Linked DNA regions of Arabidopsis thaliana. The protein of the gene in region 2 binds, or shares a complex with, the protein of the main gene of each other region. Each region holds a gene or a part of one and is shown on either strand. Other genes may lie near its edges.

Region 1 (6,355 bases), on a different chromosome or scaffold from region 2:
AAATATAGTATAATTCCTTTTTCAGAACAAGACAAGTCTAGTTTCTTCTTTTAGTAAATGATATATCTATCTTTATTGTTTCAGGCTCAAGGCTTTAACTGTATCTCTTAAGGCACTCAAGTTAGCTGGTGTTCATGGAATCGCAGTTGAGGTTTGGTGGGGGATTGTAGAGCGTTTCTCTCCTCTTGAGTTTAAATGGTCACTGTATGAAGAGCTTTTTAGACTGATTTCTGAGGCAGGGTTGAAGTTACATGTTGCTCTTTGCTTTCATTCAAATATGCATTTGTTTGGTGGGAAAGGAGGCATCAGTCTTCCACTCTGGATCCGAGAGGTTGGTATTGTTAGAATTACAGGTATTTAGTTATTTGTTTGCGGTAGAGATAGAAGGTTGCCTGATGCGGATTTTTCTTCTTCCTTTGAATATTTTTAAGGTTGAGAACTTTTTCTGATGAAACCTTGGAGACTATAGATTTCTGTTACACAATCATAGATGCTAACTTGATTATGTTGTCGTTGGGAATGCTTTCCTTTGTTACGAAGTTTAGCTCAACTGCTTTTCACCTTATAATTTCCAGATTGGAGACGTCAATAAGGACATATACTATAGAGATAAAAGCGGATTTTCCAACAATGACTATCTCACACTTGGAGTCGATCAACTTCCTTTGTTCGGTGGCCGTACTGCTGTTCAATGCTATGAAGATTTTATGCTCAGTTTTTCAACAAAATTTGAGCCATATCTTGGGAATGTGATTGAAGAAATAAGTATAGGTCTTGGTCCTTCGGGGGAGCTTAGGTACTTCTGATCTTCTGTGGACTACCACCGGTAAAGCCACAATAGCTACAATAGGAGTTTCTTACACAGTTATCTCTTGCAGATATCCTGCACATCCTTCTGGAGATGGGAGGTGGAAATTTCCTGGAATTGGTGAATTCCAATGCCATGACAAGTACATGTGAGTGCTTATTTATTGAAAATTTGTATTTGCCTGTACTAATCACACTTACAGATTTATACTACTTGGTTTAGGATGGAAGACTTGATGGCAGTGGCATCCCAAGAAGGCAAACCTCAATGGGGAAGCAGAGATCCTCCGAATACCGGCTGCTATAATAGCTTTCCATCTGGAGTTCCGTTCTTTGAGGAGGGCAATGATAGCTTTCTCTCTGACTATGGTCGTTTCTTTCTAGTATGTTCTATATCATAGCCTCTTTGGTGATTCTGATATAATATATTGTTATGATATAAAAGTGGCTAGTAGGCTGGATTATAGATAACAACGTGAACTGCTTTTCATTGTAGGAATGGTACAGTGGGAAGTTGATTTGTCATGCTGATGCTATTCTTGCAAAGGCAGCCGATGTCTTGCGGAGACGTCAGGAAGAAGAGAAAAGCTCTGTAATGCTGGTTGCAAAAATTGGTGGAATCTATTGGTGGTATAAGACATCTTCACACCCCGCTGAACTAACTGCAGGTTATTACAACACCTCCCTCAGGGATGGTTATGATCCTGTAGCTTCCGTCTTGTCTCGTCATGGTGCTGCTCTCAACATCCCGTGAGAGCCTTTTTCTGAAGTTTTCTTTTACTATGTACATAATTCTCAGAAGCTGCATGGTCCAGTTTCACTAACGAGAGAATCTATCATATCTTTTCAGCTGCTTGGATATGGCAGATAGTGAAATACCTGAGAAATATCTTTGCAGCCCTGAAGGATTACGTAGACAGGTACTTTCTTTCGTAAACCCTTGATCCAGAATTCAATTATGTTCATATGAAGTATGTATGTTACTTGTATTTAGACCGGTCACTGTTGAAGCACTATTTACTTCCGTAGAGACACTTCAAACTAGTCTAGTCTCTGTGTTCTTACTGCGCTGCTACATTAGACAATTAAGCATGCCTTATAAGAACATGAACAAATCAGCATTATCACATTTTCTTTTGCTAGATACATGATGTTTCGAAGAAGTGGACAATACATGTGACTGGTAGAAACACAAGCGAAAGATTTGATGAGGTGAGTTATTTGCACATGCTTTAGTCTTATACGTCTGAGGTCAAAGTGGTGGTTATTAACCATTTTCTATATGAATTCTGCAACAGATGGGACTAAGGCAAATACGAGAGAACTGTGTGCAACCGAATGGCGACACTCTAAGATCATTTACGTTTTGCAGAATGAATGAGAAGATCTTTAGGGTCGAGAACTGGAACAACTTTGTCCCTTTCATTAGACAGATGAGTGCAGATATGTAAACACACTCACCACCCATTGGTGTGTTTGTCTTTTGTTACAGAATCGATCTTTCCTCACCATATTGCTTTTTCAGATATGTGATGAGGAGAACTAATCAAATCAAAAATTGTTATATGATAAAATCTCTCTCTGTTTCTATTCTTCATTTTGTTCTATCTCTATTGCAAAAGTCTTGCAGAAACCTTTTTCATTGGATCAAAAAGTTACATTGTATGTTTTGATTATCAGAAAGCGATCCAATACAGAAGGTTTAATCACAGCAAATGTGTTACATACAAAGATATTATTGAATCAAAGGACTTGCCTATCAGCAGCCTCGGCAACAAGAGGCAACCTCGGGGTCAGACCAAACAAGCAAGCAGAGAATCCATAGATCAAAGAGACAAGCAAGAAGAGGAACACTGTGCTGTCCAAACTCATCACCACATCTAAACCAAACCCATCTCTAGGATTAAAGCTCCTCTCAAGCAAATCCGGGAAAATCAACAACACATCAAGCACAATCGCCTGCATCGTGTTGAACCTGACGTACCTGCTGAAATTAGGGTTCCTCACAACGACGAAGTAGAGAGTGATGAAGATAAGAAACCCATTGAAAGGGAAGCTCTTGAAAGCTCTGATGGCGGGAAACAAAGGTTGGATGAGAATCTGAAAAGGTTGGTACTGTGTGATGATGAATTTGCCGTATTGAATCCCATCGAAGAATGGGTAGAAGTAACAGACGGCTGAGATTATCCGATCCGATGCATCGACGGAATCATCACCCTTGGATTGGAGTACGAGTGTGGCGGCTCTGTCCCTGGAAAGTCTAGGTTTTGGGAATTGGGTATCAAGGTTTAGAGGGAGAAAAGAACGACCGGTTAGGGTTAGGGTTCCGGTGAGAGATGGTAATGGAGCAAAAAACTGAGATATTATTGCCATTTTGCTCTGTTTTTGTTTCACTTCACACAAAACTGAAAGACTGCTTAACACATGATGAGAGGATAATAAACTAAACTCCACTCTGTTTTAAAAGTTTAGCTTAAAACATTGTGTCGTCTTCTTATCTTTCTAATATGATAAAACGGTACGTAGTTATTTGAAGTAAGGTAACAATTAAATAGCCTCTGTTATTGTCTTTGTTTTTTGTGTATATTTAAATATCAAAATCCACCGGTATAAAACGGCGTAATGCCTTTGTATTGGACCCAATTCTTTCAATTTTCACCTAATTTAATTACCTCCGTATTTATTTTTTAGTGCACTTCAATGTCTCTTGCATATATATATTGGAGCAAATTATAAACATAATGTTCATAGTGAAATTGTTAGTTGGTTTTAATCTCTTTTTAAGACAACATATAATGTCAATTGTATGTACGTTTTTCTTGTTTCTCTTAAACACTTCTTTTGCGTTTGCATTTGCGATTCCTAAACCGCCAATAGTAAGGAGACTATCAACGACAGTGACATCAAATTCAACAGCGTCTTCTTGCTCAGCCAATGGAAATCCAATCGATGAGTGTTGGAGATGCGACGAAAACTGGAAGGACAACCGCAAAAACCTCGCGGATTGCGCGGTTGGATTCGGACGCGACTCAATTGGCGGTAGAGCCGGGGAGTTCTACACGGTGACTGATTCAGGAGACGACAATCCTCTAAATCCAACTCCAGGTACATTACGGTACGCTGCGACACAAGATCAACCTCTATGGATCATTTTTGATCGAGACATGGTAATACAACTAAAACAAGATCTTCAAGTAGCTTCATACAAAACCATTGATGGTAGAGGAAATAACGTACAAATAGCTTATGGACCGTGTTTAACTTTATATAAAGTTAGTAACATTATTATAAACAATCTTTATATTCACGATTGTGTTCCCGTGAAACGGAATGCTTTATCGTCGTTGGGAGGATACTCGGATGGAGATGGAATATCGATATTCGAGTCTCGAGATATTTGGATTGATCATTGTACGTTAGAGAAATGTTACGATGGGCTTATTGATGCGGTGAATGGATCCACGGATATAACGATTTCGAATAGTTACATGTTGAATCATAATGAAGTCATGCTTTTGGGCCATAGTGATGAGTATTCCGGTGATCGGGATATGCGAGTTACGATCGCGTTTAACTATTTTGGTGAAGGACTTGTCCAAAGAATGCCAAGGTTAGTACAATCTTATATTTCTTTTTCTTCTTTTTTTAATGTCAAATTTATAAGCTAACCAAAATATTCGTGCTTAAAATACCAATGTGTAGGTGTAGGCATGGATATTTTCACATAGTGAATAACATTTATAGAGACTGGAAGATGTATGCTATTGGTGGAAGTGCTAATCCAACGATCTTTAGCCAAGGAAATGTTTTCATAGCTTCCAATAATCAGTTCACCAAGGAGGTACGTTCGTGACATGTGCTCCACAAAACTAAGAGCGTTTTAACCTCACAATTAGTACAATCTAATTCATAGTCGACTAATCATTTAGAAATTTGATTTTCATGTGTCTTACTATATGGATTAGATTCTAGACGGAAATGTTTGCTCCATACTTCTAAACTCACATGCCCTATACGCAGGTTACAAAGCGAGAGAGTGCAGATGGAGACGAAGAATGGAAGGAATGGAACTGGAAATCAGAAGGAGACGAAATGGTTAACGGAGCTTTCTTTACACCGTCAGGGAAAGAGGATTCTCCGAGCTACGCGAAATTTTCGAGTATGGTAGCTCGACCAGCTTCACTTCTCAAGACCACACATCCATCAGTAGGTGTTCTTAGTTGCGAAATTGACCAAGCTTGTTAAAAACACAAACATAAGCTTGTGACCAAATCTAGTGTTTGTCCTTCTTTTTCTTTTTTGCTCTTCTACTTGTTGTGGTTATTGTTATCGTAAATAGGATTTGTACTGAATGTGATGATGATCATAGACCCAAACAACAATTGTTCATTGTCAATTTCTTTACCAAAAAATTTCTTTTACGAGTCACAAAGTTTCGTCAGTTTTTTTATTTATAAATACATTAAAATTACTTAACAACCTTTTTCCATCGGATAAAACTAAGATTGACACTCATCATTAATAATTTTATATATACTCCCATTTTTTTTAGTGAGTGTTAACATAAGATTAGGAATTATTCGTATATTGTTAGTTTCTTTTATTCTAACTTTCCCAATCATATTGGGATTGAGCTCATCCCAATATGTATAAATAGCGTACTCAAGAGACCAATCATCAAGTGGCTAGTAATGTGGCTCAAGACCTAATTTCGTAGCTAGCTACTTTTTTATTTGTATTTTGTATATAACACATTAAAGGCTTTTTTTTCCTTTGATTCAATGTAAATTTCGTTACCTTTCAAATTTCTGATTTGTGATGATCTGAATTAGTTTTTGGACTCATTATGTGAAAATCAGTTAGACAAATACAAAAACAAGAAAAATATGACAAGATCACCAAAATCAGGACTTGTTTACATCATCAACTAAACAAACACGTGAAACAAGAACACACAAATATATAAACTACCGACTATTTAATTCGACAACCAACTTTTAAATAAATAAAAAAAACTCAACAATAGAGGGAAATAAATAATCCTCATTTACTTTCCCCCAAAAACCATAAATAAAAGATTCACAAAAAAAAAAACATGGAAGAATAGAAGAAACGAAGTGAAACTATAGAAGCCAAGAAGAAGCAAACAAGCAGAGCAAGCTCACCACCAAACCAGCCTTAGCTCCTCCGATGATCCTAACCGCACCAGCATCATCTGCCGTCGCATCATCGGCCTCTCCGTCAGGCCCTTCGGCAGGCGAATCCGAGTCACCAAAAGGATCATTATCTGGCGACGGTGCAGCCTTCTTCTTCTTTCCTTTCGCTTTCCCTTTAGCCGCTTTTGGAGAATCCGCAACATCACCATCCTCTGGTGCCGGAGCAGGAGCCGGAGCTTCAACAGCCGAAGCCTTAAACAACTCTTTAGGCAACAAAACCTTATCAGTCGCATATATAGCTAAAGGCTGCTCATCAATAAGAGTATCAACGATCTTGACAGTGTTGATCCTTGTCTTGAGGGTAACCTTCTCTCCATCGTTCTGTACAGTAA
Region 2 (8,177 bases):
ATAGGTTTGTTCTCTTTTCTAATGCAACAATTATTTTTATTATTTTCGCGGCATGTAGGTCAAGGTGGTGGCATGGGAGAGATCGGTATTAGTGAAAAATATTTATGTTAATGTTTTCGAATATCACGGTTCAACTTTTTGGTTTCCAATATATAATTATTGATTTTGAACAGAACATAAATTTTTTATAATGAAATTTCTAATTCGAGAAAAAAAAATTTAGTCACTTCCGATCCACAAAATCTGAGTTAAGAAATTGAAAAAAAAGAGCTAAATGTTTTATGTTTATGGAACATTATTTTAAATGTTATTTTAGGTAGTCAAATGGGTTATCTTTGGGCCAGACATTAGTCATTGAGGAGGCCCACAAAGGTATAGAACTAGAGTAACGAAGCCTTGCCTTGAAGGCAATAATCGCTTCTCCCACATCGGAAGTTTGAGGATGGATACTCGTCTGTGACATAGTATAAATAAAGAACATGGTCGAAGCTTGCAAATTACTTACCTGGACGGGGTCAACTCGTGATCAAGAAGACGAGTGGCCTAGGCTAGTGAATTCCATTGCACATAACGGAAGGGTGCTTAGCTTAAGGTCTTCCCTTGTGGAAGAGCCTGCGTCATTATTTGTGGCAGAGGGGGTTTGCGTTCGCGCAGCCCCTACCATTCCCAGTAGTTCAATCTTTTGTTCATGAATACCCATGGCCTAGGCTAGTGGCTTCCTGCACTTGAGGTGCGCTAAGCCTAAGGTTTCCCCAAATGGCCAAGTGGGAGATCCTGCGTCATTATTTGTTGCCTTGGGGGGCTGCGTTCGCGCGGCCCATTCCATCCGCAATAGTTCAATCTTTTTAGCTCTCTGGTAACTGTTATAACATCTGAGGTCTTTCTTTAATTGTTCACGTTTTTGGTGGAGCTATTTTATTGAAGGTTGTTAATTTGACTTTGGAGATGCAATCTTCTAATCAAATCTCCACGTGAGAAGCGAGGATTCTCTCCTCGTCATTATTTATCCTTCCCAATTAGAGTAATCACACTTTTCTGTCACATATGAATTATTAAAATCAGAACTTAAGCGAAATCCTTCGACCACTAAAGAAGAAAATCCCTAACAAATCTCAGAGTTTGTGTTAATTTCTTCTTTCCTTACATCTTTTCCAGAAGAAAAAAAGCTGAAAGATGTGGTTTTTTGGATCGAAAGGAGCATCTGGATTCTCTTCTCGTTCCACAGCAGAGGAAGTCACACATGGTGTTGATGGGACTGGTCTCACTGCCATTGTCACAGGTTTTCTTCTATCAATAGTTTCATGCCCTTTTGCGACTTGGGTTTGTCTAAAGTTGTAGACTTTTCTATAATTATGAATTGATTTCATATGTAGGGTAGAGATTTTTTACTTTTATTGTTTAGACAATTGGAATTTGATGTTTTTATGATCAGGGTCTGTTTTTGGTTCGGTCAACCCTAATAAATATATGGAGGTCATCACCGTTTGTTGTTCTAAAGTTTGTCTTTTTTTTTTGCCAATAAGTAACAAGCTTTTGCTCACAAGAATTGGATTGCTATGTTTGGTGAATTTTAAAGTACAACATGTTTGGGACCATTTGATCTGCAAATAACATGTGCTATTAGAAAGTTACATATATATACATACTTGTCTCTGTTTCAGCTGATTCTAAGTTATGTTATAATCACACACTATACAATTTCTGACCAAAGGAAGAAAAAAAAAAGATTTGCTTGTAGATCTCGTTTCAATACTTTTGTGAAGTGCTGCTTCCTTATTTTGGTTAGATTGAGTATGTAGTTTAGTATGCACATGTTCTGTATCAGCCTATCAGGGTATTGAAAAGGCTAGGAACGAGCTTAATCTATTAGTTGATACAACTTAAGAAAGTGAGATTTCTGAACATGTTGGATCCTCAAGTTTTGTTTTGTTTGTTTTCATGTTTTTTCAGGAGCATCAAGTGGTATAGGTGTAGAAACAGCTCGTGTTCTTGCACTGCGTGGTGTGCATGTGGTTATGGCGGTGAGAAACACTGGCGCCGGTGCTAAAGTTAAGGAAGATATTGTCAAGCAAGTCCCTGGAGCTAAAGTTGATGTCATGGAGTTAGAACTCAGCTCAATGGAATCTGTCAGGAAATTTGCATCTGAGTACAAATCTGCTGGTCTTCCACTCAACCTCTTGATGTAAGCTATTGAAATATCGTGGTTCATCTATAGCCGTTTGGATTTATTGACGTTTATGTTTTGACTTGTCTCAATTTTGTAAGCAACAATGCCGGGATTATGGCATGTCCTTTTATGCTCTCTAAGGACAACATCGAGCTGCAATTCGCAACCAACCATTTAGGTGAGTATGATAACCAAACCAACATTATGGCTTTGTCCTACATTTTATATAATTAGTTTCTAATCAGTGCAACGGTTTTTGTAATCCAAATACATTTCAGGACATTTTCTGCTTACCAAACTTCTGTTAGATACAATGAAGAACACATCACGTGAAAGCAAAAGAGAAGGAAGGATTGTTAACGTATCATCAGAAGCTCATCGTTACTCGTACCCAGAAGGAGTCCGCTTTGATAAGATCAACGACGAGTCAAGGTACTAATGGTGAACCAAATAGTATAATTCTCCGATCCCATCTTTTCTTCTAAAGCCAACATTCTTCCTTGATTTGGTCTCCACATGCAGTTACAGTAGTATACGTGCTTATGGACAATCTAAACTCTGCAATGTATTGCACGCCAACGAGCTTGCAAAGCAACTGAAGGTAAACTACACTAAACAAAGCAAAGATATAGCAAATCAAGAATCTATGTTTCCATGGTTATCTTCAATTCTGGTATATGATTAAAAACAGGAAGATGGAGTCAATATAACAGCAAATTCACTTCATCCAGGAGCCATTATGACAAATCTATGGGGCTACTTCAACTCCTATTTGGCTGGTAACTTCTTTTCTCGGATTCAACTCTCATCACTCCATGTTTCATAAGGTTACACTCAAAGTAAACAAACGCATACATATATTTTGAGTCTCTTCTGATCTCTCTGTCACCGGCTTAATGCAGGAGCTGTTGGTGCAGTGGCTAAATATATGGTCAAGTCTGTTCCGCAGGTATGCATCTAATTTCTGAACCTCACACTAATAACCAATCACTTGCAAACTTGTCACTAGGTTTCTCAGCTTAAGTAGGAGAGAATGATACAGCAGTCTAGCTTTACGGATTGATTTGGTTTTTGTTGGTAATCTGGTTTATAATGTCTGAGTATTCGACTTGGTAGGGGGCGGCAACAACTTGCTATGTGGCATTGAATCCACAGGTTGCAGGAGTTACAGGGGAATACTTCTCAGATAGCAACATTGCTAAACCAATAGAACTTGTCAAAGATACAGAATTGGCGAAGAAGCTTTGGGATTTCAGCACTAAGCTTACTGATTCGCAATGATGATTACCGTTGCAGTAGATAGTTGTTCAGGGAACCTTTACTTTCGATGTCTCTATTGTGACAATACTTATTTCAGTCTTTATTGATACAAAATAAAATGTAAAAAACAAATCTGAAATCATTTCCATTTCAATTCTGCAAAAAGATGGTTTATCCAATTTCAGCCTAAACAAAAGTGTTACTTATCTGTTTTCTCATTGACTCAAAACAGTTGTCTAGTGAACTAACTCGTAGACATAAGTAAGTAAGAAACCAAACAGAAAGAGCTTAAAACATCTTCTGATTTTGGAGTTAACTCATGTTATTGGTGGGAGCTATTTTAAGGACATTTGTTAAATCCTTTAAAAAGAAAGTTGTTAATAAATCCCCATCATTTGACTTTGGAGATGCACTATTCTACACTTCAACCTCAACCTCGTGAGACATGAGGATTAAAGTAAAGTAATCACATTTCTGTCACATATGAACAAATAAAGTTATTTAAATCAGAATAAAAGCGAAATCGCTTGACCACTCAAGAAGAGAAAAACGCTAACAAGTCCCATAGTTTGTGTTTATTGGACTTCTTTCCTCTCATCTTCTCCAGCAGAAACAAAAAAAGCTGAAAGATGTGGTTTTTTGGATCGAAAGGAGCATCTGGATTCTCGTCTCGTTCAACTGCAGAGGAAGTCACACATGGTGTTGATGGGACTGGTCTCACTGCCATAGTCACAGGTTTTCTTCTATCAACACTTTCATGCCATTTTGCGACATGGGGTTGTCTAAAGTTGTAGACTTTTTTTCTTATAATTTCCAGAACTTTTGTCCTCTCTGATTCTGTCTTCGAATTGATTTCATATCTAGTAAAAAGACTTGACTTTTATTGTTTAGACAATTGGAATTTAAGGTTTTTATCATCAGGGTCTGTCTTTGATTCGGTCAACTCTAATAAATATTGAGGTCATCACTGTTTCTTGTTCGAAAGTTGTCTTTTTTTTCAAGAATTTGGATTGAAAATTCCATGTTTGGTGAATTTTAAAGTACAACAAGTTTGGGACCATATGTATAATTGCATGTTAAGGGAAAATAACTCGTCTCTGTTTCAGCTGCTTGTAAGTTGTGTTATATATCACAACTCTATACAATTCCTGGCCAAGGGAAGAAAAAATACAGATTTGCTTGTAGAAATCGTTTCTATATTTTGATCATATTACATTAGGGCCTGAAACAAGAACAATGGAGTCCTTGAATTGATAGAACCCTGTTAGGTGACACTAAAGACTTGCACATACATATTTGAGTGTAGCATCGATTGGGCAAACCCTGAGTCAGCCTAATAGCCTATCAGGGTTTGAAAAGGCTTGGAAGAGCTTAACTGATCATTGGTTGATACAACTTTAAAAAGTAGTCTAGCCTGCATTGAGTTTTCTGGACATGTTTGGTTCCTTAAGTTTTCTTGTCTTTGTGTTCATATTTTCAGGAGCATCAAGTGGTATAGGAGTAGAGACAGCGCGTGTTCTTTCACTGCGTGGTGTGCATGTGGTTATGGCGGTGAGGAACACTGACTCTGGTGCTAAAGTTAAGGAAGATATTGTCAAGCAAGTCCCTGGAGCTAAACTCGATGTCATGGAGTTAGATCTCAGCTCAATGCAATCTGTCAGGAAATTTGCGTCTGAGTACAAATCTACTGGTCTTCCACTCAACCTCTTGATGTAAGCTATTGAATACTGTATATAGCGGTTTTGATTTATTGATGGTTAATGTTTTGAATTGTCTTAATCTTGTAAGCAACAATGCCGGGATTATGGCATGTCCTTTTATGCTCTCTAAGGACAACATCGAGCTGCAATTCGCAACCAATCATTTAGGTGAGTAGGAGAAGTAAACCAACATTATGTGGCTTTGTTCTAAAGTTATATACTTAAGTTAACATCATCATTAGTTTTTAGTCAGTGGCATGGAATTTGTGATCCACTTTATTTCAGGTCATTTTCTGTTGACTAAACTTCTGCTAGATACAATGAAGAGCACATCACGTGAAAGCAAACGAGAAGGAAGAATTGTTAACCTATCATCAGAAGCTCATCGGTTCTCGTATCCAGAAGGAGTTCGTTTTGATAAGATCAATGACAAGTCAAGGTACTAATGGTGAACCAAATAGTAATTCTTCTATCAAAATCTAACATTCTTCCTTGGTTTGGTCTCCGTTGCAGTTACAGTAGTATGCGAGCTTATGGACAATCTAAACTCTGCAATGTGTTGCACGCCAACGAGCTTACAAAGCAACTGAAGGTAACTAGAAAAACAAGAGATCTATCAAATCAAAATCTATGTTTCCATGGTTATATTGATTCAAATCTGGTATGAATAAAATAGGAAGATGGAGTCAATATAACAGCAAATTCGCTTCATCCAGGAGCCATTATGACTAACCTCGGGCGCTACTTCAACCCCTATTTGGCTGGTAACTTCTTTTCTCTTATTCCACTATCATCACCCCATACTTCACAAGGTTACACACAAGTAAACAAACGCATACATATACTTCTTCTGATCCTCTCTGGCATTGGCTTGATGCAGTAGCGGTTGGTGCAGTGGCTAAATATATACTCAAGTCTGTTCCACAGGTATGCTTCTAATTTCGAAGCCTCACACTGGTAACCAATCACTTACAAACTGGTCACAAGGTTTCTCAGATCTTGCTTAAAGGATAAAACTTGGTTTTGTTCCGTTATGTGGTTTATAATGTCTGAGTATACGACTTTGTAGGGAGCGGCAACAACTTGCTATGTGGCATTGAATCCTCAAGTTGCAGGAGTTTCAGGGGAATACTTCCAAGATAGCAACATTGCTAAACCATTACCACTTGTCAAAGATACAGAATTGGCCAAGAAGGTTTGGGATTTCAGCACCAAGCTTACCGATTCACAATCAGGAGAAAGCAGTTCTTGAAAGTAAATGATGTTCAGTGAATCTTTACTAATGGTTTCATGTTTCAACGTCTCTTATCTCTACTGTGACAATACTTATTTCAGTCTTTATCAAAGGAAATAAAAACGTATAACAAATCTGCAATAAGATGGTTTATTCTGACCGGTTTAGTTCTAAACCTTCACCAAACACTTATCAGAAGAAAATGTAAAAAAGCTTTGTAATCAAGTATCAGAAGATTTTAAAGACAACTTTCGAATTCAAAAAGAAGAAGAAGCCACGAGGAGACAATACTGTCAATGCATTATTAAAGTGATGGTCAGAAATGAAAATAAAAATCAATGATGATAGTTTTCTAGTTTAAACTCACTTTATTAATGGTTTCATTAGGAAGGTTAAGTAATTAATTAATCTTTGTGATTGGAATTTGGATCATAACGTGCAAATTGTCGATATAGAGTGTTATAGATAGGCTCTGTATTTAATTCATTTCATACCCTCTATATATAATTGTCGGTCGTTAGATGGCATTTGTTTTTATATTTATTTGATTTGGACCAAACAATGCTATTAATGATATGCATTGTATAAATTTCAAACTATAACGAGAGCAAATTTCAATGTAGGTTTAGGACTATATATGTTGATATTTAACAAAAAAGAAAAATTCATCTTAGGGTGATAAGATTGATCACTAAAGATTATTGAAATGTGGCCAAGTACTAGAGTACTACTATTTGTGACTATTTTACAATTGTTCACAATCATATCTATTGTACGTACAAACTATTTGCAGAAAAATCACATGCTCCAATATGAGATATTGTGTGTATGGATGTGGATACCTCAAATTAACTCGTAAAAATGTATGGACCTAATATAGTATATAATACGATACTAAAGATTTTTGTTCATTTTACTGTTGTTGATAGACTTACACTATGATGAGCAACAAAGGACTGAAATTTCAACAACAACAAATGATTTTTGAAATTGTCAAAATTAGTTGTCATCATCAGCAACAACAAAACTAATCAAATATGTTTGTAACATTCTATTTGAGAAAATTTATATAACTATATTGAAAAGAACATATATCACACAATCGTATATGAATGGTTGGGGGATGGACTAATAAAGAGTATGGTAATGTTTCTCAAACTCTCTGAGAAGCCACCAAACCACTTATAAAGAGATCTAAGTTCACACCTTTGTGTTTACTTTATCTAACTAATCCGTGGTACTACAAAGTAATTAAATTGTGGTAACATTGAATTACATATTCATTTTTATTCTATCATTACCAAAAAGTCAATCATGTTGTAGTACATGTACAGATTGGACGCTTTCTTTGTATTTTTCTGCTGTGTACACATTCAACTTTAATAATTGCTCTTCTCCGTAATGTGGTAAAATTCGATTTCATGCATATATTCAGGATTTCAACAACAGAAAAAGTTTTCAAAAATAACCAAAACATGTGGCCAAGTGATCTTTGTTATCACTATGACTAAAATCCATATAATCCTTACAATTATCATTCACATATATTTAAGCTTCATAATTGACTCATCTTTCAATCATTGACAAAATTTGCTTTGTCAAACAAAAGCTAAATCATAAGGAAATAGTGTCTACATGAAACTAAATCAAAATTATTCCTTCTATTCAATTCCTAATTCATAAGGATGGGCCTCACAATTGGACTTTAATTCTCTAAATTAGACCATTTTTCTGCTAAAAGAGCAAATGTGATCTCTTGAAAAGGTGTTGGAGAGGCGATAATTCGGAGCCGTGGATGAAACGTGTGAAAAGGGAG
Region 3 (9,354 bases), on a different chromosome or scaffold from region 2:
GTAGAGGATTCCTTTGGACTCTTTTCACTCTTTTTCTTGGATTTTTGTTGCTGCTGGATACCTCAGGTAGACTGGCTTCAGGTGACAAATCAAAGGACCGTTCAGGAGATATTGGAATATCACTCTCTTGAATTCCACCAAGCTGACTTCCAGATTCTGAACATATACTAAAATTTCTACAGAGGACAGAATCAATTTTCTCTAGAAAGCCGCTGAATTGGACTCCAGAAGACGAAGCTATCCCATTTTCGCATGAAATCTCCGCTTTTATTTTATAAAGTTCAGTTTCATCGCAATCTTCAGTATTATCCTGTACTTGTAAGCAAACACCTAGTTAGCCCAAATAGATTCCAAACAAAAAAAATTCAAAACCCAAGGGAACTTGTCACTTTGATTACCTCTACGTTAGATTCAGGCAACCTTATAGCAACCCTGCAACAACAACAAGAATGGTGTATAAGAGCCGTGAAACACTAAATGAACGCAGGCGACAAAAAAAAGTGGAAAACCATCCACCGAGCTTGTGACATTATAAGTTAAAAAATAAAACACCTTTCAAGAAGCATTTTGCGCCGCTCCTTCAGTGTGAGATGTTCAAGATCATCACTCCTTTCAGTTTCTCCGACTCTATTAAAATTCTCTACAGCATTACTACAACATCCTAGAATGTTGTTCTGTGGTCTTATGTTTCCAGAATCTTTAAGACCTTGACTACAACCAATGTTCATAGATTCCAATATTTCCGTGCTTACAGATTCAGTAGCATCACAATTTGACACTACACCCTGGACACTAGATACTCAGTTCTCTAAACTTACATAAGTGAAATTGAATTTAACAAAAACAAAGACTTCGTTACCAGCTCATTGAAGCAATCTTCTTCTTCTCTTTTCAAGACACTATCAACATTCGATCTAAGAAACAAATGAAAACATATGTGAAAACAAAAACGAAAAGTGAAATTGAAGAAAACGTAAACCAATGACAGTACTCACGCAGGAACATAAGCAGCGATACGTTGAGAGACTCTTTCACTCGATAGCAATAAACTCCGCCGTGACGTCAAGGGGAGATGGTCTTCCTCAAGGAATGTAAAATCAGACTCCGATGAAGAGATGTTGGTAGGTTCATGGCACATCTTATACATTTGAATTAGAGTAATACAGAGGAAAAGTACATGGAGACTGAAGAAAATTGCTATAATCGAGATTTCTCCAAATTTGCTAATTGCGTATAGAGCTACAAAAGCGAATTAGATAATAAGAGAGAAGGGTTTGTTAAGAAGGTAAGGAGAATGAAGAAAGGAATCTCCTTTGGACATGAACACAAGGAGAAGAATCTCAGATTGTCGAAACCCTGGTAATAAACATGAAGAAGCTTTTGTGTCACTCACTTTTATGAACAATAAAAAAGTTGTTTTTAGCCAAATTGAAACATAACCAGTGAAACGGAGACCTTACCTCAGCATATTCGATGAAACACTGAAATTGAGACGCTCTTACTGATTAACAAGTTAAGAAAGAAATCGTTTTTTTTTTTTGTGTGTGTTTATCATCGAAACAGAGGGGAAACAGGAGGGAGCGAAGAGAAAGGTTATTTTATTTGGGCTAATGGGCCAATAAAAATAGAACCTAAAGGCCCATAGATGTAAACCCTAAGCTATAAATAAAAGACTTCGTCTTTGATTTCGCCGCAAGATATTATCTTCACGAAAAGATCCGATTTTTTTGTTCTGATTTTCTGTTAAAATCTGAATTTTTCGCTACGAAATCTTAGGTTAAGAATAGCATATAAGGAACAGATTTGTGATAGGAGTCTTTAAGCTTAGCACTCATGTATAGCTTAAAAGAAATCTTATGTTCCGATGCTAAATCAAACATCTTCATTGATGGTTTGGAGTCTCTGGACATGTAGCATTCTGGGAATTTTTTTTCCCGTGGATTCTAGCATTTTCTCGAGATTCGACATCTTCCTATGTTTTTAATTCTGATCTTATGTTTGGATATTTTAGATCTTCGAATTTCTATGATAAAGTGTTAACCTTTTCTCAAATAAAGGTTTTGTGAAAATTTGCTTTTTGATGCTGCTCTATGATGATTCTTTTTGCTTTAACCACACTGAAAAGATGGGGTTGAGAATGTGATTTTGCTCTTCTTGATTCAAACCAGAGAAAGATTAGATTTGATCTCGGAGTTTCTTGATGACACTTTGATCTAAGTTGCTTGAAGGGGATTCTTTTTCTCCTTTGTGGTTTAGATTAAGGTAGAGAGTAATGTCGAGCTCTTATCAACATTTTTCATGGTTTGAGGCTTGAAGAACATTCACGTTTTTCAAGCTCACTCATGTGGACAACCTTGGCCCTTGTCTGAGAAGCAGCTTTTTCTCATATTCAGTTTTTCTAAATTTGTTGTTTTAAAAAAAAAAATTGGTTTGTTTTTTTGGCTGTTCTATGATGATTATATTGCTTTAACCACACTGAAAAGATGGGCTTGAGAATGTGATGTGGTTCTTCTTGATTTAATCCAAAGAAAGAGTTCTTGAGCTATATGTATTGCTTGATGACACTTTGATCTAAAATACTTGAAGGGGATTTGTTTCCCTTTGTGTTTTAGATCAAGGAAGAGATCAGTGTAGAGCTCTTGTTCGATATTTTTCTTAGTTTAAATCTTGAAGAACATTATCATTTTCTCAAGCACTCATATGTGGAATCATTGTGCCCTTTGTCTGAGAAGCAGCTATGAATTCTGTTTTTGTCTTCGATATTGTTAAACGTAGCTGATTTGTAAGATTACTTTGTGATCTTTTTTGGATGCTTGATATGTATCCAACCAAGAGTGGGTTTCTTCTTACAAAGATATTGAGTTAGGAATTTTAATGTCATTTTATGTTCGAATTGGGGAAAATTCACAAAAAATTGGGAAAATAGAAGAGAGCATTATTCGATGTTTACCACATGGTGGAATAATTTGACAGAACAATGTACTTTGGGAATGACATATGGAACAAACTGTGTAAACCAATTTGATGATGAAGGTGAACGAGTTACATATAGGAGACTTACACTTCCATAATAATATTCAGAAACTATATGAAAGTGTATCTTTCTTTATTACTAAAACTCTTTTCTAATAAGAAATGTGTAAACTATGTAACTCGGCAACGGTTCCAGACTCTCTAATCCTAAATCAATGTTAAAGGCGTAAGGCTCTTGAACCTGTTCATTGTGAGCTTTGAACTAAGTATTCAATTTTTTGGACAATCCGAAAAACACAACAGTATAACTACAAATGGATTAGTCCCATTTGGGCGTAGTCTCATTCGTTTGGACGAGAAACACAACGAAAAACCTAGCCAATTTTGTTGTTCTCATGTATGGGCTTAATTGGGGACTAATCCATCTGTGGTTCCCCTTGTTTCCATAGTTCGTAATTTTATTCGTTTTTCGTCTTAAGTTTTCCCTTCTTTAGGTTTAGTTTCCGGAGATATTTTTGTTTTCCGCCGGCTTTGTGTTTCAAATTTGTATTCCACCCTTTGTATTTCACAACCTATAATACAATGGAAAAATTCTGGATGAAAAAAAGAAAAAGAACACAGTATATAGAAAAATCTGAATCACAGTACTAACATCATTGATTTTCTGCTACAAAAATGAGTGTACACTGATTCTTAAAATAGATACGGGCTATAACATAACAAAAAGAAAAAGTGGGGGATGGCTTTTGCAATAATCTCGAAAGAGTTTCTCACTCACATCACACCCTTGGTTTATAAATAAAACTCATTGATCTTGACGGTGAAAATATCGCCACCTGTTAATTTGTAAAAAGGTTTCAGTACACTTAGCTACACTGGATCCAAGTCTAGTGCTAAACTCAAACCTCGTGGTTTTAGACCAAAATCTCTTCTTCTTCGTTTCCTTCTTCCTCATCATATCTTTCATCTTCTCCACCAGAATTTGTTTTAGGCTCTCCTTCTTCTGTTTCTTTTTCTCCCAAAGAAACAATTAGATATGGAGAACCTTACCCTAGTTTCTTGCTCAGCTTCTTCTCCAAAGCTGTTAATTGGATGCAATTTCACTTCCTCGCTGAAAAACCCTACTGGGTTTTCTCGTCGGACTCCTAATATTGTCCTCCGGTGTTCCAAAATATCTGCCTCTGCTCAATCTCAATCTCCCTCTTCGCGTCCGGAGAACACTGGAGAAATCGGTTAGTTTGCAAATTCCACTCGACACTCTATTATAGCAAATGCCAAAATTTTCCGGAAAAATTTCCAGTTTATTACTTTTATCTATCTTATTGAAACTCAAATTGCGAACCCTTTTCGACTGGTTTAATATGAGCTTATGAATTGCTATATCTCTTAAAAAAATCCACACTTTGTGAATTTGCAATTTGAATTCTTGTAGAAACCATTCATTGTTAGAATTGTTTACTTTAAGTTTATGTTCGATTTGCAGTGGTTGTGAAACAGAGAAGCAAAGCTTTTGCAAGTATATTTTCTTCGAGTCGTGATCAACAGACAACTTCTGTTGCTTCCCCTAGTGTGCCTGTGCCACCACCATCTTCATCAACCATGTAATTTTCCTGGTTTTGGACAATGTGCTTAGTTTGTATGTCGTTTGATTCTTGGTTATTAAATTGTGTTTTTTCTTTTTTCTTGTAGAGGATCACCACTTTTCTGGATTGGTGTTGGTGTTGGTCTATCAGCTTTGTTCTCATATGTGAGTATCAAGATTCCTTCCTAATTTTTTTTTCCTCTATAAATATTCTTTCTTGCTTCAATATTGATTAATAAGTGCTTGACCTTTTTTCTTTTCTGATGGCATTGCAGGTAACTTCAAATTTAAAGGTACAGATACTTGGCCCTCTGGTTTTACGGGACTTTTGTTCTCTAGTCTGTTGCAGAACCACGATTTTATGCTTCATGTCAACTCTAGTGTATTGTGCTCATGTATCTGAGATAGTTTTATTCACTAAACTGGTTATCTTAACAAGGTGAACTGTTTGCTCACACTTGTTGAACCGTTTATATAAGCATCGAACTTTTGCCTCTCTTTTTTTGGGTAGTCACTTGATTCGTAGATGGTAACCTACATACCATTATGGTTTTAGTGATGCAACTCAGGTATTCAGACTTATAGTCATTTTCGCAACTCCAGTATTTGATTGAAATATATTATACAAGTTGTCATTGCTTTCTCTCATTATTCTCTAACCGGCTGTTACTCTCTTTGGATTTTTTTTTTTGCTTTGGTTTAGAAATATGCAATGCAAACAGCTATGAAGACGATGATGAACCAAATGAATACGCAAAATAGCCAGTTTAATAATTCTGGATTCCCATCAGGATCACCTTTTCCGTTTCCATTTCCTCCTCAAACAAGTCCTGCTTCCTCGCCATTCCAATCTCAATCCCAGTCTTCAGGTGCTACCGTTGATGTGACAGCGACAAAAGTAGAGACACCTCCTTCAACTAAACCGAAACCTACACCTGCAAAGGATATAGAGGTGGATAAGCCAAGTGTTGTCTTAGAGGCAAGCAAAGAGAAGAAAGAAGAAAAGAACTATGGTAGATTCTTTTTCTGTTTCAGAAATCAACGTCTTTTCATTTGTATTCTCAATTTTGACTTTCTTCCTTTCTCATTTTCCAAGCTTCTAACTTGGAAGCTGATTTACTTTTGGATGCAGCCTTTGAAGACATTTCACCCGAGGAAACCACAAAAGAAAGCCCATTTAGCAACTATGCAGAAGTCTCTGAAACTAATTCCCCCAAAGAAACTCGCTTGTTTGAGGATGTAAGTTTCGTTTTCTTTTGTATTTCCACAGCACACCAAGTGGTGATTTAAAAACGTGACATAGTTTTGCTAACCTTCTATGCTCTCTTATTGATCTCTGGGTGAAGGTCTTGCAAAATGGAGCTGGTCCGGCAAATGGTGCCACTGCTTCAGAGGTTTTTCAATCTTTGGGTGAGTTATTGAATTTCAGTTTTCATCACTATCAGCGCACTGTGCATGATTCATGATTAAGGCTACGGATTTCAATTTTATTTTATAGCATATGCCAACAATTATAAACAAAGGAAGATATGAAATTGGTGATAAAGAGGAATGAGTTGGCTTCAAAAGGATCTACTCCGTTACTTTTGTCCTTCTGCTAGTCGTTGATCTGTATTGGTATAACCATATAAGACTTGCAGGATATTACCTTGGCAATCTGTTTCATATCTCATGTGTTATGATTCTTTTTTCTTATATGCTCACGTTATTGTCTCTCTTTTCCTTATTCTAAATTTAAAACTGAATCCTGAGTCTGTCTATTGTTTACACAGGTGGTGGGAAAGGAGGGCCGGGTTTATCTGTAGAAGCTTTAGAGAAAATGATGGAAGATCCAACAGTCCAGAAGATGGTTTACCCGTAACTCATCTTCCCTAGCACATTGTCTTTAAATGCATCCATTAAGTTTATCTTTAAAACTGGTTGCTTAGTGGACATTTGGTAACATTGCATGTATAAATGCAGATACTTGCCTGAGGAGATGAGGAACCCAGAAACTTTCAAATGTAAGTCTTTTAATATTTAATCCTGCTATCATTCTTTTATTAGTCCTCATTTTTACATATTTCTAAAGACTAAAGGTTACATGACTAGCTTTTGAATGATGTAATTCGTTTATAGGTTGATCCAATGGTTATCTAAATTTAAAATACAGTTTGGTACTTATTGTCTCCGCTTGGAATTTTGTAGGGATGCTTAAAAATCCTCAGTACCGTCAACAACTACAGGACATGTTGTAAGAGCTCCATTTTACGAACAATTTAGTTGTTTCCATTGCTTTTAAGAATGTCTAAACTATGTAATTAAGAAATACTCTTGTTTGTTTCTTTTCATGAATTTAGGAATAATATGAGTGGGAGTGGTGAATGGGACAAGCGAATGACAGATACATTGAAGAATTTTGACCTGAATAGTCCTGAAGTGAAGCAACAATTCAGTAAGACAAATCTCAGTTTGTACCAAGTTAATAGTACGTTAAATAGGTCTGATACTCAATGATTGAATCTGTATTTGTCAGATCAAATAGGACTAACTCCAGAAGAAGTCATATCTAAGATCATGGAGAACCCTGATGTTGCCATGGCATTCCAGAATCCTAGAGTCCAAGCAGCGTTAATGGAAGTACGTTTTCTTTTAACCTGAATAAGAGAATTGCTTAATTTTACCCCACTTCTTTCTTCATACAAAACAGAAACCAATTACATTCTTGTTGTTGTTGCAGTGCTCAGAGAACCCAATGAACATCATGAAGTACCAAAACGACAAAGAGGTAATAATACTGCCACTTCTCCATTGCCCAAAAAGGCGATTACTTTTTTAAGAAATTTGAGGTTATTATACATTGATTGCAGGTAATGGATGTGTTCAACAAGATATCGCAGCTCTTCCCAGGAATGACGGGTTGAAAAAGCTCACGTCTTTGGTTCTATCAAAAATGTCACATTGTCTTTAGCTTTTTGTAGGGAGAAAAAAATGTTTTTTTTTTTGCAAAGAGTCTTCAGTTTTGGTCAGATCAGAGAATTGTGTACCATGTTAATCTTAAACGCGGTCGGGAATTGGAGTCGTGTGAAAACGCCGCTGCTGTTGTTTGGTATGAATATTATACAATAGAATTTGTTGTCTTACCAAAAAAAGTCTATGAAGACACTGAAGAGCAAATTATTATTTTTAAGGGAAAATTTCCAAAATAAACTTCATGTATTCAAAATTTGCTTGAAAAAACCTCAATTTTTTTTGTTTGAGATTGTGTGAATAAATCTGCCAATATTTTGTTTTAGCAATTTAAAAAATTGAAGTTTTTTTCTCGCAAATTTTAAATAGTTGTGATTTATTTTGGAATTTTACCTTATTTTTAATATCCAAAAGGAGAAGTGACGTGGCGATATCGAAGCGGTTTAATGAAGTGATGGCCCCATCTTAAAGAAATCAATGACCCTTATCGTTCCACTTCTATCGGAGTCGGAGTTTTTTTTTGTTGTTGTTGTATTCCGTACGTCGGTCGTTGTCGGGAGAATTGGCGCGTGAAATCCTTGGCTCCGTCGAATACGTCTGCCTCCGACGGCTGTGAGTCGCATGATTGAGTCGTGGGTAAGTATCCTTGTGACTTCAAATTTGTATTTCCGTTCTTTATAATCCCCTGACTCTTGAGAAAATCGAGGAGAAAAAACCATCCTTGCTTGGTATTCATTTGAAGAGTGTTTTAGTTATAAAATCGTAATGTTTGACGGTATGTGATATTCTGTGAGCATGATTATTCAGAAAGCTTTTGTCTTTTTAGTAAATATTGTCTCTTTCTTAGTCTTAGGTAATGTAACCTCAAGAACTCTATGCGAGAACATTACACATTATCTTTGGAATTGGATATTATATTGTTAAAGTTTAATCATTGATGAAAGTTGCAAAGAGTTATGATGACTCCGTTTTGGGATTGTCTTACCGTTGTCTTTCTGGTTTTAATGCTTAGGTTTCTCTTGATGAAGTCTAGAAGTGAAAGTAAGAATTGTAGGCTTGCACAAGCCTCTAGAGTAGCAGTCAACAAAGTTCTAGACAAAAGCAGCGCCCGTGGCTCTCGAGGCAAGAAGAAGCAAGATGATAACTGTGATTCCGCTAAGGTTTGTTCTTCTATTCATGCAAACAACATTATTGTTATAATGATTTCACTATGTTTACCAGGGTACTTAAGATGTTAGAAGCAACGAATTCTATTGATTGTTTTCAAGGTTTCCTTGAAGATTGTGAAGTCCGTGGTACTACTAACCAATTATCAATGGCTGTTAAAAATAGTTTCCTTGTCCTATGCCTAAAGATTTTCTTGGGACAGTGGAGATTTTTGTCTTATCTAGTCCTATGTTGTCCGGGAGTGTAAAATTATTTAATACTCTTCTATCATTGCAGCGGGATAAAGGCGTAAACGGTAAGGGAAAGCAAGCGCTCGACGCAAGATTGATTGATAACGTTCTAGAGGACAGGGGATGTGGTAATGTTGATGATGATGAAATGAATGATTCAGACTGGGAAGACTGTCCAATCCCTAGTCTTGATAGTACGGTTGATGATAATAATGTTGATGACACCAGAGAGCTAACCATAGAATTTGATGATGATGTTCCTGATGCTAAGAAGCAGAAGAATGCATACCGTGCAACAGCAGAAGACAAGGTATACTGTGCTTAGGAAACACAATATGCTTACTTTTGTTTATTCTTTAAAATGTGGTTGCTTTAGAGATTTGTGCTTTGTCTCAAAGGTACGGGCGGAACTTGTCCATAAGGTGCACTTGCTCTGTCTGCTTGCAAGAGGGA
Region 4 (7,901 bases), 3.8 Mb from region 2:
AGAAGATCAAGGTTACGTAAGACGATGATGTCGGCATCAATGAAGATCACTTTGTCGTAATCTGTCAATTGCCAGAGTCGAAACTTGCTGTAGTTGTATTCATTGTACGAGTCCTTCTCCGCAAGTGGGTTTCTGATTCGAATGATCCGACGAAGCTTCCATCCTGCGGCGGCGAGAGCTCGAAGTTTGGTAATGGAGATGGAGTCATCGTGGAGAAGGATAAGATCGCGTTTGGTGTTTGTCTGAAGGAGGCTTTGAGCCAAAGTTATGGCACCACAGACATAAGACTCGGAAGAGTGAAGAACAGTTACGTAGGCTTCACGTTTTGGTCGTTTTGTCTCTGCTTCTATCTTCGTTAGGTCATACACTTTGTCTACACCTGCTTTTTGTTTTTGGATAAAAAAACTCATTAATTCATTTAGTAAGGCCATTGAAAAAACTTCTTCAACGATTATTATCAAATTTTAGTTATTGCTATATATGCATGGATAGGTTATCAAAAACTACTTCATCCATTGCATTTTCTTAAACCAGCAAAAATTGCATTTTTGTGATTAGAATTTGAATTATCGTATTTATAATATTCATATTTAGTAATCTTAATTAATTGACAAACAAATACATAGAGAGTTGAATGTTTTTCTAATATATTAGCATATAAGCTATCATTATTAACCTGCCGTAAAAAAAAAAGCTATCATTATTAACCTTATTCGATGATCATTCGTTTTCTTAAACCACAAGCTATTTAGCTAACTAACTCGATCTACCAATACGAATGCTATTTTGGAAAGAAATTAAGGGTTTAATATCTCCTTAAAAAGTGTAAGGTAGCTTGTATGACAATTCATATTTGGTGGTTAGCAAAACGACATACCTAAAACACAACCACTAACATATCTAACTAATTAACACACATCAATCAATTATAAGCAAAGTATAGAAACATATCGAGTTGTTTTATATTACACCATACAGTTGGTATCTTTCACATCAATTTCACTTAAGCAGGTCCTTTTATGTTACAATGTCTTAGTCACTTCATAGTTCATCTGACACATTTCCGACTATACACCTTTTTACGTTTGCGCCACAAAACACGGTTTCGATTTCAAGTTCAGTTCAACATATATTTTCTGTTTGTTTAGTTTAATTACTTGGAAAAAGTAACCAAATTCAAAAACAAAAGAGTGGTCAAAATAATTTGCTAATGGTACTCTAAGTATATTAAAAACAAAAAAAAAAGATTTTTGGTTTCATCATAATTAATTTAGTTACTTTTGCTAAAACTAAAAATATTTAGCAAGAAGATTAATTTGCATGAAAGTAATTTTACCTTGTGGTGCCCACAAAGGAAGAGCAAGATTGCAAGATCCGACTGGCAAACTGAGTCTCTGTTGTAACCTAACCACCTCAGGGCGATACAGCCACCAATCTGCCTCTCTCTTCTCCAAATCATCACACCGGAAAATCTCAATCATCGGTTGACATTTGCTCCAAAACAACACTTTGCTTTTCCATCTCCAATCCGTCTTCCCTTTCTTGGCTGCCAAGTTAGCCGCAACTAGGTTCACTTGCAACCTCAAAACCTCTCTTCTCCACCCTTCTTCAGGGTAATTACAAGGCAACTTCACTACTACCAAATCCAACTTCTCTAAGCTTTCGAAATCGGGCATAGGTATCTCAGGACATGTGGGAACCTCGGTTTCTTCCTCTTCATCTATCCACTCGGGGAACAAGTCTTGCCATTTGAAGAGCTTCGAGACACGCTCAAAATGTATGTGAACCGTTTCGCCATAACGTTTCCAATTAGTAAGATCACATTCTTCCATGTTCACCATCCCTATCTTTGTTTTTCCTAACCCTCTTGTTAAAATCTCTTCCATGAAGCTTGGCGCCTCCAGCTTTGTCTGGTTACTAGCGGTTAGCAAATCTTTCTTGTTTATTTCGTTCTCTTCAACGAGTTCTTGCATCTTCACTCCTCTCACCACCTGATCACATAGCAGTATAAAGATATCTATTAGTCTAAGTTTTGATATAAGATTTACTCTGCAAACAAAAATGTAAACTCACCTTACCTTGGGAGTGCAATCACGAAAAGAGCATCCAACAAAGGAAGCTCCGCTGCTGAAATAGACTGATGAAGAAGGGTGGAAGAAAATGGCAGTGTAGAGAAGAAAAGAGAAACCCAACAAGACTAGATTAAAGCGTATCAGTGCAGATTTGGAAGGAGCCATCTTCATTATCATCGTCATTATCGTCATCTCGTTTCTGAATGACAAACATTTATCTTTCATCTTATATATATACACTCCTAAATCAAAATGTTTAAAGGTTTCACGAGAAATATGTGTAGGAATATTCTTTGTATGCGAACCACGTGAAGGGTAGAGAAAAAAACAAAAACATGGTAATTAGTACTTTAAGTAGAGGTTGAGTTTTTTTGAGTAGGACAAAAAAAACGTCTAAAAGAGTTTACATTGGACGTGTCAAAGGATTTTCTTTACTCAAACACAAGCCTGATGTATTATTATTAAACAAAGATATGTCGCCAACGATTGTGGTTGGATAATGACATGAGTTTGCGATACGTATGCCTTAAGATACGTATTTGCTCTCACCTCCAAACATGGGACCAAAATTACAATATTGTAAGGGATCCTTTTTATTTACTACATATATCACTTTATCTCATCCAATGCAAAACCCAAAAGGGATTTCATTAAAAGTTATCTACCGTCATTTGAAGGTTCTACTATTAATGGTGCTCCAGGACATTGACTTTTGTTACCACTTTATCTATTCACAAATCTTGGTAAATAATGAGACAAATTGTGAATGCTTGCTGTTACATAAGTTCGGAGAACATGTAATCTCCGATAAAGACTATACAACAACTTAACACAATACAAAAATAAAATAAAGTAGTAGTTACAGCTCAATTGAATAAAGGAAAATGTCATCAAAAGTAGGATAATAAACTACATATTTCCGCCCAAAAAAAAAAAACTAAAAAAAAACTACATATTTCCACAATTTGATGATCTTTATCAGAAAACGATGCAATCTATGTTAGAAAATAAATTATGTTACAGATTTGTTCACAAAACCTCTACCAACTACAACTTTTGAAAAATTGGTACAAAAGACCATAGGCTACAATTGGTTGGAAGAATAAAGAAGAGAAAAAATGTTAGTAGGTGCAATATGCGACGACGGAGGAAGTCAAGCAAGCAACAAGTTTAGTTCTGCTGTCAACATCGCTTACTTACGCTTCAGGAAAGGATCAATGCTTTTGAAACAATCTCATCTCCTTTTCTTTTTCTTACTTCAACTTGTTTTTTTTAAGGCAGTAACAATTAGTAAGGATGAAAATAATCACATTATCATTAAGCTGAGATGTCAAAGCGATTATGATGAGAGGAAAAGAAAATGAAAATAAGTATTGGTAAGACATCTTAGTTTTAATAATCGTATATCAACCAAATTTGATCAATAATTAGCTTAAACCAACATATCATTTTAGAGGCCTCAACCTCCTTTGAATAATTAGGCTGATACTACATTCTAATGACAGATGAATAACGTACATCTCCACTTTTTAAAACAAACAAGATTATGTTATTTGATTTAGGTATCCGTATATGCCAAATATATTTTTCTGGATGTAAGAACCACGAGTAACATGTTGATGATGTGTTTAAGTGGTAAAAGGAGAGGAGAAAACTAAATTTTGGGACTGTGTTGAGCTCTTTGGGCAATTGATAATATTGCAAAATCTCAAAAGAGGCTGTTTTTTTTTTATCAAGTAAAAATACACACATTGTGTCTATTATGGTTTTACTCTTTGATCAAATCCTGCATGTGTTGTGCATAACTTCTTCCCGGTGGAATGAATATTACATCTTCCCAACCTGAATTCTTCTCGCTCATCTACATTGATTCAATTCAGATTTTTATTAGACTACCAGGTTTTCATACTTTAAGGTTTCTTTAAACAAAGAAGAAGCGTGAGTACCTCCATTTTCCTCAACACATCTTCCAGACTCCCAACCTGCAAAACAAAAAGATTAGTTCCATGGTGAAGATAAGAAAACTCTTAACAAAACCAATGCTGTGAAATTACTTTATATATTGATCTCTGATATGCAACTTTGATAACGATAAACCTTGGAATTCATTTTAACTCAGATATATGAAGGCATGTACAATCTGAATTCCGCTCTTTCTAAAGTTTTCTAAGACTTTTCCCTTTCCCTCGCTGTTCCTTTGAAAACATGGTGTTATATGTTTGCAGAACATGTAATCACAAAAAATGCTAGAAATTACATATGATGCCAACACAGCTACTAGCTACTCCCACTTGTTAGTAAACCATGTCTTTAGATCAAGGTGTTTGTTTCTATCTTACGTGGCCTATCGAAGATTCAAATACATAGAAGGTAGGTATGAATCATTACCATAATTTGTTGATCTCCTCTTGATGCTCTCGTATATTTAGAAAGTTCCCTCTCTATATCTTCCTGAAAGTGGTCACGCAGAACAGGAAAGTAAGAGTTATCTTCCTCTGTTTTGGCTTATGAGAGATCTATTAGTATTCTTTAACGTGGGAGAAGAAACTAACCAACCTTACTGAAATATACAGGGCAGTAACGTCTATTTTTTTTCCTCACAACAAGAAGCTCAGACTGTAGAGGCCAATAACAACAGATAGATATCAAGAGAAAACAAAGCAAAAACACCAAAACATAAGGAATCCATATTGGTATAATAGAAAAACACAGAAAATGAGTATATCAATTTACCTGAAAAACCGGAACTCCATCAAACCCATTCTTATTTCCTGAGGATTTGAGCTGAGACGCAAGAAAATATAGCTTATGGATAAGATTGAAATGCCAAATAAATGCTATAGACACATATAATTAAAAGTCTGTTTAGCATGAGCCAACCTCTAACGCATTCTTTATTTGGATTGGATCTGGCAAGAAGCGAAAGGAAATCCCTTCAACTTTTAGCAAGTACACCTGTAAACAACATCATCTTAACTTCTGGGAATGTAGCTACCACGATTACGCAAATAACATCAAAAAGTTCCCTAAACGTAGTTATAACTTATAAGTTCCAAGCCATTAGAGGGATTATAATCATGCCATCGTTGCATTCTTTCTTGTGACGATGTTGTCAACATTGCTACGTGCACAAGAACACAATCTCCCGTTCATTCAAACTGCCAACAGGTGTTCCTATTACCGTATAATATAAACAACTAAAATGAGGCCAGACATGAACAAGTCTACTTAGAATTTGAGCTCCTGAAATTTGTTTGTTTCATTTGATTTAACCAATGGCTTCTTCCACATTGATCTAATGCAGTGATCATAAGGAAAGGGAACTACCTGGTCCAGAGTAATGGGAACAACCTTCGCATTGGTTTTCAATTCTCTTCTCCGAAGTCGCGCCTAAAGGAGTATATTAGAGAATTATGAGCTCAGAAACTTCACATTTTTTTAAAAAAGTTCGGAGGAGAAAAATACAACAAAAAGCGAAACCTGAGCAAGAAAAGCTTCAGCATCCTCTTGTCGAAAACAGAGCAAACCGATAGACTTGCCTCCGGTAGGATCCGAGATAAGAACGAATTCGTTATTGGTGTTACTGACTGTAAACACCGACGTCCCAGCGAGAGCTTTAGCGACAAGAGATGGACTCAACGTCGTCGTCGGGGTTCCAGACTTGGATTGTGAGACGGAGGCGAAAGGCGGCGGAGTAGGAAGAGAGAAACGTCGAGTAGCTAGGGTTTCGGCGAATCGTTTCGTGTCTTCGATTCGGGCGGAGAGGTCGGAGCTGAAGCGGGTACACTGGTGGTGAATGAAAGAAGAGAAGGAGAGGAAAGGATTGGGTTTCACTGATGACTCCATTTTTGGATTTGCAGAGAGAAGAAAGAAGTAGAAGAAGAAGAAGCAATTTTTGATACTATGAAGAGAGTGAAGAAAAAGGCTTCAGAGCAATTCGTTTGGGCTTTTTTATTTGGGCTTTATTGGACTTGATTGGTTTTAGTTTACGTTTAATATGGCCCTTGATCAAAAGTTTGGTGACAAAGCATTTATTAACTTTCTAAACTCAACTTCCACACCATTCTAAACACATGACATGACTTACAAAAAGCTTTTGTCACTCAAAATTCATGTCGATGACATTTTTTTCCTCCAAATTTCTCCTCCTTATAAAATACTTACTAGATCAAGCAAACAACACACTAAAGAAAACAAAATTGTTAAAACTCTCGTTAACTGAAAAATATGAGGAACATTACTACTACAACCCGAAAAATGTTACTACTTGTGATTACGATTTTATTGGGGATTGCGTATCATGGAGAAGCCATAGCATGTCCGCAGGTAAACATGTACTTAGCACAATGTTTGCCTTATCTAAAAGCTGGAGGAAATCCGTCTCCAATGTGCTGCAACGGACTTAATAGTCTAAAAGCCGCAGCGCCTGAGAAAGCCGATAGACAAGTAGCTTGTAATTGCTTGAAGAGTGTAGCTAATACAATCCCTGGAATTAATGATGATTTTGCCAAACAACTCCCTGCTAAATGTGGTGTTAATATAGGAGTCCCTTTCTCTAAGACTGTGGACTGTAACAGGTAGCTACTGCAGTTTCTTTTTAATATTGCCGAAACATGTGTAGTTGTGAGAGCTTCTAACTACATAATCCTCTAATTGACCTATTTAATTTGTTTTGTGAACACTGAACAGCATAAACTGAAAAGAAGATTGACTACCAACGGCCATGCAGCTACAATAAAGTGGATATCCTAAAAGATCAAAACCATCATGAACAAATTATATGGATACTTAGTATTTATCTTCTGATCATATATGTTATAGATGTAATCATATAGTTCTTGGCAGATAAAATGTGATTATTTCCCACATTTACATATTCCCTCTTTCCTACTCTCACACGTAGCTCAACATCTTAAAATATGATCATCAGCATTTGCACACAATGTTTCACATTTATTTGACATACACGATCAAAACGAAGCAGTTTTGTAACAAGATAAAAATCGATTGGGTTAAAAGTGTAACGGGAGAAGTAAAAATGTAGTCATCACTCATCATAGTGACTGAATTCAAGGGAATATTATTCTTCGAAATACCTGAAAGATGGGAAATTTGAATTTCAGTAGTGAATGACGCCCAGACTCTTCAACCAAGGGAGCATCTCCTCCAATCCTTCCTTTAGGCTTCGAGGGTTATAACCAAGTTCCAGCTTAGCCTTATCACAAGAGTATGACCACTGATGTCTCAGCACTGTCACTGTCTGTTCATCACAAAATACTAAGAGTTGAGATTATTCTATACCTAATAAGATAATCTATAATATGTGGGCAACTAATGAATGCAATTGAAACTCACCGGAGGACTGATAAGTGGAAGCTTTCCTGTAACCCGAGAGATTAAAACAGATAACCATCCGTATGCGTTGATGGCCCATAATGGAATGCTAAAGTTTGGCTTTTTGGTTCCAGTAATCAGTGCAGCCATGTCAAAGACAAGCTTGAAAGAAGCATTTTCCCCAGTGAGTAAGTATCTTTCACCAAGCCTACCTTTTTCCATTGCAGCAACATGACCCTCCACAACATCATCAACATGGCTGAAGGAGTATCTATCCGTCCCAGAGCCAATATATCCAGGCAACCTCCCGTTAAAGCGCTCGATCAACTAGAAGAACAACATCATGTGATAATCAACCACATACTGTCAATGTACCACTACATCATCCCACCAATGCAACTCTAATCAGCAAAAGGAAGAATCATACCATTCTAGCAACCATATTGGCTGAAGTGAGCTTGCCTGGACCAAAAATAACACCAGGATACAGCAAAA

The links.
Region 1: Tic32-IVa (region 2) and Tic20-V share a complex: the UniProt entries of both Arabidopsis thaliana proteins name them as parts of the tic complex.
Region 3: Tic32-IVa (region 2) and TIC40 share a complex: the UniProt entries of both Arabidopsis thaliana proteins name them as parts of the tic complex.
Region 4: Tic32-IVa (region 2) and Tic22-IV share a complex: the UniProt entries of both Arabidopsis thaliana proteins name them as parts of the tic complex.

The regions. Positions count from the first base shown.
Region 1 is NC_003076.8:22,552,445-22,558,799, forward strand, and holds Tic20-V (TIC 20-v-like protein), read right to left. Parts: upstream 3,207-6,355; 5' UTR 3,181-3,206; coding exon 2,551-3,180; 3' UTR 2,434-2,550; downstream 1-2,433. Other genes in the region: BAM4 (beta-amylase 4), read left to right, coding at 85-331, 576-796, 879-956, 1,031-1,190, 1,304-1,557, 1,658-1,727, 1,951-2,019, 2,106-2,258; AT5G55720 (Pectin lyase-like superfamily protein), read left to right, coding at 3,603-4,417, 4,510-4,648, 4,828-5,052; FLA1 (FASCICLIN-like arabinogalactan 1), read right to left, coding at 5,931-6,355. UniProt on the Arabidopsis thaliana protein: May be involved in protein precursor import into chloroplasts. Not redundant with TIC20-I, TIC20-II or TIC20-IV.
Region 2 is NC_003075.7:12,225,115-12,233,291, forward strand, and holds Tic32-IVa (NAD(P)-binding Rossmann-fold superfamily protein), read left to right. Parts: upstream 1-3,788; 5' UTR 3,789-4,056; coding exon 4,057-4,162; intron 4,163-4,907; coding exon 4,908-5,139; intron 5,140-5,215; coding exon 5,216-5,295; intron 5,296-5,412; coding exon 5,413-5,566; intron 5,567-5,640; coding exon 5,641-5,719; intron 5,720-5,803; coding exon 5,804-5,891; intron 5,892-6,007; coding exon 6,008-6,054; intron 6,055-6,196; coding exon 6,197-6,379; 3' UTR 6,380-6,604; downstream 6,605-8,177. Other genes in the region: TET5 (tetraspanin5), read left to right, coding at 59-92; AT4G23420 (NAD(P)-binding Rossmann-fold superfamily protein), read left to right, coding at 946-971, 1,071-1,117, 1,196-1,279, 1,951-2,182, 2,266-2,345, 2,446-2,599, 2,690-2,768, 2,859-2,946 and 2 more. UniProt on the Arabidopsis thaliana protein: Involved in protein precursor import into chloroplasts. Part of the redox regulon consisting of TIC32, TIC 55 and TIC62.
Region 3 is NC_003076.8:5,446,799-5,456,152, forward strand, and holds TIC40 (hydroxyproline-rich glycoprotein family protein), read left to right. Parts: upstream 1-3,821; 5' UTR 3,822-4,009; coding exon 4,010-4,205; intron 4,206-4,456; coding exon 4,457-4,574; intron 4,575-4,662; coding exon 4,663-4,720; intron 4,721-4,830; coding exon 4,831-4,848; intron 4,849-5,258; coding exon 5,259-5,568; intron 5,569-5,687; coding exon 5,688-5,794; intron 5,795-5,901; coding exon 5,902-5,965; intron 5,966-6,327; coding exon 6,328-6,412; intron 6,413-6,517; coding exon 6,518-6,558; intron 6,559-6,742; coding exon 6,743-6,788; intron 6,789-6,894; coding exon 6,895-6,989; intron 6,990-7,070; coding exon 7,071-7,174; intron 7,175-7,274; coding exon 7,275-7,322; intron 7,323-7,404; coding exon 7,405-7,458; 3' UTR 7,459-7,779; downstream 7,780-9,354. Other genes in the region: AT5G16610 (uncharacterized protein), read right to left, coding at 1-310, 399-432, 553-785, 860-914, 996-1,147; DNA repair protein Rad4 family, read left to right, coding at 8,527-8,664, 8,948-9,211, 9,300-9,354. UniProt on the Arabidopsis thaliana protein: Involved in protein precursor import into chloroplasts. Part of the motor complex consisting of a co-chaperone (TIC40) and a chaperone (HSP93) associated with the import channel (TIC110).
Region 4 is NC_003075.7:16,060,798-16,068,698, forward strand, and holds Tic22-IV (Tic22-like family protein), read right to left. Parts: upstream 6,101-7,901; 5' UTR 5,919-6,100; coding exon 5,553-5,918; intron 5,463-5,552; coding exon 5,400-5,462; intron 5,028-5,399; coding exon 4,953-5,027; intron 4,857-4,952; coding exon 4,806-4,856; intron 4,689-4,805; coding exon 4,629-4,688; intron 4,524-4,628; coding exon 4,461-4,523; intron 4,055-4,460; coding exon 4,019-4,054; intron 3,934-4,018; coding exon 3,841-3,933; 3' UTR 3,640-3,840; downstream 1-3,639. Other genes in the region: PGSIP3 (plant glycogenin-like starch initiation protein 3), read right to left, coding at 1-379, 1,337-1,991, 2,079-2,264; AT4G33355 (Bifunctional inhibitor/lipid-transfer protein/seed storage 2S albumin superfamily protein), read left to right, coding at 6,300-6,649, 6,762-6,771; FLDH (NAD(P)-binding Rossmann-fold superfamily protein), read right to left, coding at 7,192-7,332, 7,428-7,733, 7,834-7,901. UniProt on the Arabidopsis thaliana protein: Involved in protein precursor import into chloroplasts. Imported into the intermembrane space via the Toc translocon. May be involved in the import pathway used by proteins without a cleavable N-terminal pre-sequence.